Linked DNA regions of Canis lupus familiaris. The protein of the gene in region 1 binds, or shares a complex with, the protein of each later gene. Links are inferred from orthologs where the notes say so. Each region holds a gene or a part of one and is shown on either strand. Other genes may lie near its edges.

Region 1 (3,938 bases):
CTATCCTGTGCCCATCCCAGATTCCAGCCGTATATCCGATAGGCTGATGGGGAATCTCGTGGGAGACGAGCAGCTGAAGAGTTGCCCCCTTTAGACAGATAGGTGTACCTTACTCATATGCCAGGTTTCACCAGCTTGTCACCATGATGGCTTGATAAGAACTGATACTGAGACCTAAGTGACTGTTGGAACTAAAAGTACAGTGGAAGCAGGGATCAGACATCTTCATCAGCTCTTCACAAGCCTTCATGGAGCATGAAGTGTACTCTGCTGCTTTGTGGGAGACTGTACCATAATAGCATGCTTCCTGCTGTTTATCAAAAGGAATGTGCCTCTACGCCCCAGCAGCCCTGACGCTCTAACCTATCTTCTTCACACTCCCCTTCTGAGCAGATTTAACAATGCAGTCGTTCCTGAAGTGGGGAGTACAAAAAAGGGACAGTCGTTCTAAGCTTGTTTTTCCCAGGAATGTTTACACAAGCAACACGTAATACAGGTCTGTGTTTCACACATACCCCGACTTTTGTTTGCCAGCTGTATATTTTAAGGCACCTGCTGCATATACGAACTTGCTCTTACCAAGTCAGGACACAGAGACACACGCTATGGAGGGAACACAAGGCTCGTTTAATACTGCAGGAGCAGACGTGGGCTCAGCTCCGTATGTGTAGGGTGGGTGCTCGCCCAGCAAAGCCGACGCACGGCAACCATGCTTCTTCAGAGTTCAGAAGCACCTTCTGTAGAGGAAGAAAGGCCCATGTTCCTCATACTCAAAGCGGTGGACCCACAGTGGTTGGAAGCCCTGAAGTGACGCCAGGATGGAGCCGCCCGTCCACACTGCAGTGTCTCTCTCGGGCAACACGTTTACCTGGGGGTTGTCATTGGGACACATGCTGCTCAGCTCCTTCTGCAGGCGGTTAGGGAAACCGCTGAGCATAGTGCTGCCCCCGCACAGCAGGATGTTCCCCATGAGATCCCGTTTGAGGGCAATGTCACACTTGTTAAGGCAGGACACTGTCTGGGTGTGGAGGCCCAGCTGCATGGACTTGATAAGAGAAGGCTTAAAGAACATTTCCGAGCAGAGAAACCTCTCCTGGCACAGGCTTATCTCCTTCCCGTCAGGCAGAGTGTACTGGATCGTGTGCACAGTGGCTGGGACTTTCTTCTCTTCGATGGGGTCCAGGGCCACAAAGCAGCATTTCTTCTTGATGTCCTCCACAATGCTTAGCTGGTCCTCGGTGAAGTGTTTCCCCAAGTTATTCATCAGGCCCATCAAGTAGGCTGTCAGGTCAGAGCCCGCGTAGTCCAGCCGTCCGGTGATGCTGGGCAGAGGATAACCCTCGTAGATGGGGACCACGTAGGACACGCCGTGGCCAACCTCCACCACCAGGCCGGACGTCCTTCCGTAGGAGTACATGGACAGGCGGGATTGGTAGGCGATGTGCATGGCGGGGGTGCTGAAGGTTTCAAACAGCATCTCGGCGTACTTCTCTCTGTTGGTGTGCGGGCTCAGGGGTGGGTCTGAGACCAAGACCGCGTGCTCCTCTGGGGAGATCTTCATCTCCTTGTGGAAGAGATGTTCCCAGATATCCTGCACCGTATCCCAGTCCACGATGATGCCATGCCGCAAAGGGTTAACTAGCTTGAGGCGAACCTCTGGGTTGATGAGCTCCTTCCCCACAAACGTCTCCTTGCGATTGTCCCCGGTTTTGGCCGTCTCCATGTAGGGCTTGCCCACCGTCGAGGAGATGTTGTGGGTGGGCTTTGGCAGCCCGGCGAAGCCACATTTGCAGTAGCCAGTGCCAAGGTCCACGACCACTGCTTTGGTCACCTCTAACCTGGGCTTCTCCCTGACCGTCGTTGATTTAGTAGGTTCTTCTGGCTCCGAACGGTTGCAGCGGACCCACACTGCCCGCTTTGCCGGGCCGTCCTTTAGGGAGGCCGTCTGGAGGACGTGGGCCTGTAGGGGGGCCTGTTCGCCGCCTCTCTTGGCAGGCCCATCCCCGATGATTCCTGCCTGTGGAGCCCACATGCTATCAAGAGCCATCTTGCTCTCAGAAAGTTCCTCGATCCCACTGGGGTCAAGGCCTGAAAGGCTTATTATCAGACAGCAACTTGGGAATTTCCCCAATGATGACATCACTGATTGTGACATAATCTGGTGACCCGGGGCTTTCTAGATACTGGGAACCTGTGTCCCGTGTTGGGGTGGATTTAAGGTAGTGTTTTGGAGGTGACTTCACCCTTTTCTAGATTGTGTAATAAGCCTGATCTAGCCAATCACTTATTTATTGAGCACTTGCTCCGTGCAAGGCAGCTGGGAGAAAAAAGAAAACCTCTGTGCCCTCGTAGAGTTCACACTCTAGTCAGCAGGAGCTGGGGGGAGAGGCAGTGGCCGAAACACACAGGGCAGAAGATGGTAAGGGCAAGAGAGAAAAGGCAGGGAAGGGGCCTGGGGAGGGGAGCACGCTGCTGCTGCTTCCTCTACCTCTCCTCCCCTCTCACTCCCCCAAATAAATAAAATATTAGGAAAAAAAATAAAAGTGTTACCTTCTTGGTTCGATGGGTGAACCAAGAGGATGAAATGGCATCGAATCTCGAGAGAACAGGAGTTCACTTTGCTCGATGCCCGGCTGCCTAAGAGCTCACGTACTTGCCTCTGCTGTGCAGCAGGGGTTCGCGCGGCCGCCTTGGATTGTTCGACTTCACCTCAAAAGAATGTTGATGTGAAAACCAAAGGCATTTTTAATTTAGGATGACCCTGTCTTTCCTTCTCAACCTTCGTCTTGAATTCGGACAAATGTGCGGCAGCCCGACGGCATTCTCATTGCCCTGGATCCTCCGTGGCTGCTCTAACAAATTACCACACTCAGTGGCTTCAAACAGCGTCTACCACTCCGGAGGTCGGGAATCCGCAGTCACCCTGCTACCTTCACCTACGTTCCTTGGCTTGGGGCCCCTTCATCTTCAAAGACCTGCCATCTCTCCCTTGACCTGACCCTCCTGACCCACCCTCTTACCAGGACCCTGGTGGTAACGCGGGGTCACCTCCCTGCCTCAGACTCCCCAACTCCCCTATCTGCGAGGTCCCTTTTGCCCTGAAAGGTACCATTCACACAGATCCCAGGGATTAAAGGTGTGCATACCTTTTGGGAGCCATCACACACTGTCACTTGGCCTGTGCTCCCCACTAAGGCCTGCCAGGCCGTGTTTCACATGCTCCCTCCCGCCCCACGCCCGCCCCGGCTCGCCCCCTTGGCCCTTTGTGTCCGTGTGGGTGGGAGAGCTGCTGTGCTGGCTCAACGCCAGGCGCTCGCTCCACCTGGTCTCTGAGGCCCAAGACACAGGGACCCAGGGGCCCCGCACGTCCTGCAGGCTGCAGTCACCGGACTCTCCACTCCTTTTACTTCACCTGTCAGGATCTTGCACGCTCGGATGCTCTCTCTTAGCAAAGCCTTTCCCCTTAGCTTCTACGTCCCCCTTTGTGTCCCTTCTCTCTCCGGGGTCAGGACACAGTGTGGTACCGATGATGGGAGAATATGGAGACGCTTGGCACACTGCCCCCAGAATGTTTCGCTCCTGGCATGCACGAGCCCCCATGCTTGGCACTAGCCATCCCAGGCGCTCGTGGGCTCCCTGGGGTCTCCGGTGCAGTCCTTCGAGGTTAGAGGCACCTACTATTACTCAGTATCTCAGGCCACGTTTGCTCCTCTGGCCCGAGCCTAGAAAACCATCAGGTGACTCTTCTTGAAAACAACTCCCAGGCCCTCCTATAGGGGAGAAAGAAACCTGTGAAGGTTAGACCAAGAAACCCATTTCTCTTTGAGCTGGTATCCTTGCTCCGGCCTTTGGGACACAGCCCACCCTGGATTCTCAAAAGGAAGGTGAACTGGGCCCCTGTAATTTTAGCAGCTAGAAGAAGGAAGAGAGAGAATCTA
Region 2 (4,574 bases), on another chromosome or scaffold:
TCCATTTTTAGTTTATTAATAGAATGAGGAAAACATGCACATTATAAATCAGTGCTCTGTTGAACAATGTTAACAAACAGCCAAGTGAGCAAAGGGTTGAAAGTGTTGACCAAACATGAGTTTGGGGTGTTTTCCGTTACCAAATTTTCAGAGGTAAAGGAAGAGACATCTGTACCTTGATACCTACTTTTGGGGGAGATTTTTTCCTTTTTTAAAATAGATGCCAGATGAAGTCACCTCTTGTCTGTGCAGTATAGTTTTTTGTCACCACCACAAACTGAAAAAGAAGTGGACTCTTCTGTCTTTTCTCTTTTCCTTAGTCAACACACGGTGTCTAGGTCCCCAAAGAGGCTGGGGGCACTGCTTAGTCTCATGAGCGCTCGCTCTGCCCCCAGGAAGTCGGGCAGATGCCGACAGGACACTTCTGGGGTCCTCAGTTCCCAGTAAAACGAGGAAGCTGGACTCGGTAACCGGGGATCCCTTCCAGACCCACTCCTGTGATGTTCACGCGCTCCCCGTGGAGCGAAGCCCTGAGCCTCGCGCTGCCGCCTGCGCCCACGAGTCTCCAGCAGAGCCCAGATCCGGAGCCTCCCAGGCCGCTCACTGCGGGGAGGGGGGGGGGGGTCACAACCCTCCCTGGCGCCACTGCCACTCACCCCATCCCTGTTTCTGAACCACTGGGTGCTCAGGGAACACGTGGGGGGCTGTGGGGCGAGGGGCTGGGCCAGGCCGGGGGGACAGTGGCCTCGGGGCGCAGGTCCGTCACCGAGTCCCCAGCAGTCCCCACCGTCGCGTGTGTCCCCACCTCCACCGCCGGCCAAGCGGGCCTCGACTTCCCCCCGAGCCCCGGCAGGTCCCCCGGCCGGGCGGGCCTCGACTTCCCCCCGAGCCCCAGCAGGTGCAGAGCGAGCCTCGACTTCCCCCCGAGCCCCGGCAGGTGTCCCCGGCCGGGCGGGCCTCGACTTCCCCCCGAGCCCCAGCAGGTGCAGAGCGAGCCTCGACTTCTCCCGAGCCCCGGCAGGTCCCCCGGCCGGGCGGGCCTCGACTTCCCCCCTGAGCCCCAGCAGGTGCAGAGCGAGCCTCGACTTCCCCCAGAGCCCCGGCAGGTGCCCCCGGCCAGGCGGGCCTCGACTTCCCCCCCGAGCCCCAGCAGGTGCCGCGCGGGCCTCGACTTCCCCCCTGAGCCCCAGCAGGTGCAGAGGGAGACTCGACTTCCCCCGAGCCCCCGCGGGCAGGTCCCCCGGCCGCGCGGGCCTCGACTTCCCCCCGAGCCCCAGCAGGTGCCGCGCGGGCCTCGACTTCCCCCCGAGCCCCAGCAGGTGCCGCGCGGGCCTCGACTTCCCCCAGAGCCCCGGCAGGTGCCCCCGGCCAGGCGGGCCTCGACTTCCCCCCCGAGCCCCAGCAGGTGCCGCGCGGGCCTCGACTTCCCCCAGCCCCGGCAGGTCCCCCGGCCGCGCGGGCCTCGCCTCCCGGGGCGCGGCCCCGCCCTCCCTGGGGACCCGCGGAGGAGCGGCGGCGCCCGGTGATTGGCGGCCGCCCGCGCCGCCCGCTGCCATTGGCTGCCCGCGCCTCTTTGTTCCCGGGCCCCGCGGCGGAAGTTGGACGGCGGCGGCGGGCGGCGCGGGCGGCGGCGCTGGAGTCCTGGCTGGGTCCCCGCGGTCCTCCCCGCTGCTCCTCCCCGCTCCCGGGCCTCCCGGCCTCCCGGCCTCCCCGGTCCCCGCGGCGCAGCGGACGGCGGGCGAGCTCGGGCGCGAGGTCCCGGCCCCGCGGACATGGAGCTGGAGGCCAAAGTGAAGAAGGTAGGCGGGGGCGGGGGCGGGGGGGGGGCCGGGGGGGCACCTGCGCCGGGCGGGGCGGGGCGGGGGCGCGAGGCGGCGGGTCTCGGGCCGCGGCCCCGACGGTTGGGTGCGGGGAGGGCGGGTCGGGCACCGGGCGCGCCTCGCAGCCTCCGGGAGCCTCCCCCGCCCCCCGCGCCCCGAGGTCGGGCCCTCCCGCTGCGCTTCCCCGCTCCCGCAGCCCGACAAGTGACTGTGCGCTCCCTTTCCGTTCCCTTTTCTCCCTTGGTCCCCCGTGCACCGCCCCCCCCGTCGTGCCTCCTCGCTCCTGGAGTTGGGCCGCCGGCAGTCGCCTGCCACCGTGACCCCGGTCACCCCCCCTCCCATCCCGTCCCCGGCCTTCGGGACTCGCAGCCCTCCCTGAGCCCTCGCAGCCCTCCCTGAGCTCCCGCAGCCCTACCTGAGCCCCCATAGTCCTACCTGAGCCCCCGCAGCCCTCCCTGAGCTCCCGCAGCCCTACCTGAGCTCCCCATAGTCCTACCTGAGCCCCCGCAGCCCTCCCTGAGCCCTCGCAGCCCTCCCTGAGCTCCCGCAGCCCTACCTGAGCCCCCGCAGCCCTCCCTGAGCCCTCGCAGCCCTCCCTGAGCTCCCGCAGCCCTACCTGAGCCCCCATAGTCCTACCTGAGCCCCCATAGTCCTACCTGAGCCCCCGCAGCCCTCCCTGAGCTCCCCATAGTCCTACCTGAGCCCCCACAGCCCTCCCTGAGCCCCCGCAGCCCTACCTGAGCTCCCCATAGTCCTACCTGAGCCCCCGCAGCCCTCCCTGAGCTGCTCCTACCTGAGCTGCTCCCTGCCCCGGGGCAGCCGCACGTGGGCGCCCGACTGTGACCCCGCAGGAACGCTGATGTCACATTCCAGCGTGACCTTCCCTGGGAAAGGTCTCGTTCCAGGGAATCGTGCCTGCGTACCTTGCAGTGACTTTAAGCTCGCTGTCCCTTATCAAATAGGGAGAGGGAGTTTTGCAGAGAGAAAGGAGGGGGGAAAAATCGAACCTTAGTTTTCTTCCCTGACCCACGAGGGTTGCCAAAATTGCCATTATTTCATCTTCTAGAGACGAAGTTCCCGACTTAAGCATTAATTCTGTTTCATGCCCCAGAACTGCACTTTTGAAAATGTAGGCAAATGCAAAACTCTCAGGTTGGGAGTTGAAACATAAAAACTTGGCAGTAGAAAAACCGTTTATCACGTAAGGCCACACCTGCCACTTACAGGGAATCTAAGAAGAGGAAAGCATAATGTAAGAGTAGTGTGATTGCATTCTCCTCTCTTCCCTTTTGGTTTCCTGTCCTCTTAAATGACACAGTACTTTTTGTTGACCTTGCCTGGCACTAGGACAGCTTTTTGTTTGCTGCTTAGTTAGCCTTCCATTCGTGAACACTGCTCCTTTGCTCAAGTGGGTAAGAGCTACCTAATACCTAAAATTTGAGGAGTCTTCCCTGTGCCTATACATATTGATGCAAACACTACTTTTTAAGAGTCAGCTTCCTTTTGGAGAGGAAGGGACGGATGGGTGAAGCACAGAGGATTTTTTTTTAGGGCAGTGAAACTATTCTGTATGCCGACTACCATGGTACGTACCTGTCGGTACAGAACGGTAAAAATGCATAGAATGAACGACAGACACCAAGAATGAGCCCGAAAGTATTTGGGGGAATAAGGATGTGTCAGTGTAGGTTCATCAGTTGTTAACAAAGGTACCACTTTGGTGCGGGATATTGATACTGTGGGGAGATATGTGGGGGCCCCCTGGGGGGTGGGGGGGGCGGGGACTTATATGGGAACTCCATACCTTGTGCTCCAATGTTCCTATGAACAGAAAACCACTCTGGAAAAGGAAATGTACTTACAAGGGGGAAAAATCAGCATTTAAAAGTGATTTTGAAATTATTGGAGATAAAGAAGAAGTAATTCTGAGGGAGAAAGTCCAAAGTTAGGAATGAATGCCCTTACAAGGGAAAAATTCAGACATTATTCATAAACAATTTCCTTAGCTTTAAAATGTGGATTATGATTTTTAAAGATGCCCTTAATGTATGGTATAATTCTTTCATCTCCCCTTTAGTGTAAAAGGCTATCTTTTCCATCCAAGAATCTTATCCTTTTCTCTGATTCTCCTCCTCTCCTTCCTTTACCACAGAGAAAAAAAGACTCTGTACATTTAAAGATCTTACAATCCCATGAGAGTAACAAATTCTTGTTTCACTACCTTGTCATTCATCACTGCTGATTCTCAGGGCAGAGTCCTCAACCAGGAAATTGGAAACTACTAAAAAGACCCTCAGAATGTCCAATTTGACTGCCAGCCATAACCCTCTCTGTGCCTTTGTTAGGACCCTTGACAGACTTGAGGTTCTGTGGGTTTGACAAAAAAACCTCCCAGTACAAAAACTTTGGAGATTCCAGGAATACATTTTACAGTTTCGCCATAATCACAAAAAGAAACTTCATTCCTTTTGGAAATTGTTTTCTAACACACCAGAAGAAGGAAACATCACAAGGTGTTATCTCTGGTCTACGAGCAGAGCCTTCTCACCTTATTTTGGAAGCTAGTTTTCAAGTCTTCCTTTTTTCTGGTTTGGGTATACAAGTAAAGTAATACCTTTCAAAAAGCCAGGTTGGAAGTTGGAACAAAGACACAGCCATTTAAATAAAACTGTTTTGATGTCTGTTTTAAGTTATGTGGCAATTTTTTCTAAAGCCCTTAGACTCTTGATTTCATGAGGCGTTTTCCCCAGACAG

Evidence for each region.
Region 2: the proteins of ACTL7A (region 1) and TES are in contact, whole or in part, in a crystal structure (PDB 2XQN), measured with the Homo sapiens proteins. The link is inferred for Canis lupus familiaris from reciprocal best matches to the Homo sapiens genes ACTL7A and TES. Residues at the interface, in NP_006678.1 of Homo sapiens: Leu28, Gln29, Thr30, Ala31, Ser32, Leu33, Arg34, Asp35, Gly36, Pro37, Ala38, Lys39, Arg40, Ala41, Val42, Trp43, Val44, Arg45, His46; in NP_056456.1 of Homo sapiens: Asn311, Glu312, Tyr313, Thr314, Gln315, Ala316, Glu317, Leu323, Phe326, Leu335, Ala336, Gly337, Glu338, Ile339, Tyr340, Val341, Tyr353, Pro370, Glu371, Val372, Gln373, Arg374, Val375, Thr376, Tyr377, Ala384, Phe389, Leu398, Ile399, Gly400.

What each region holds. Positions count from the first base shown.
Region 1 is NC_049232.1:64,397,662-64,401,599, reverse strand, and holds ACTL7A (actin-like protein 7A), read right to left. Parts: upstream 2,520-3,938; 5' UTR 2,156-2,519; coding exon 725-2,155; 3' UTR 605-724; downstream 1-604. UniProt on the Homo sapiens protein: Essential for normal spermatogenesis and male fertility. Required for normal sperm head morphology, acroplaxome formation, acrosome attachment, and acrosome granule stability.
Region 2 is NC_049235.1:55,320,648-55,325,221, forward strand, and holds the start of TES (testin), read left to right. Parts: upstream 1-1,770; 5' UTR 1,771-1,772; coding exon 1,773-1,799; intron 1,800-2,613; exon of another isoform or gene 2,614-2,676; intron 2,677-4,574. UniProt on the Homo sapiens protein: Scaffold protein that may play a role in cell adhesion, cell spreading and in the reorganization of the actin cytoskeleton. Plays a role in the regulation of cell proliferation. May act as a tumor suppressor. Inhibits tumor cell growth.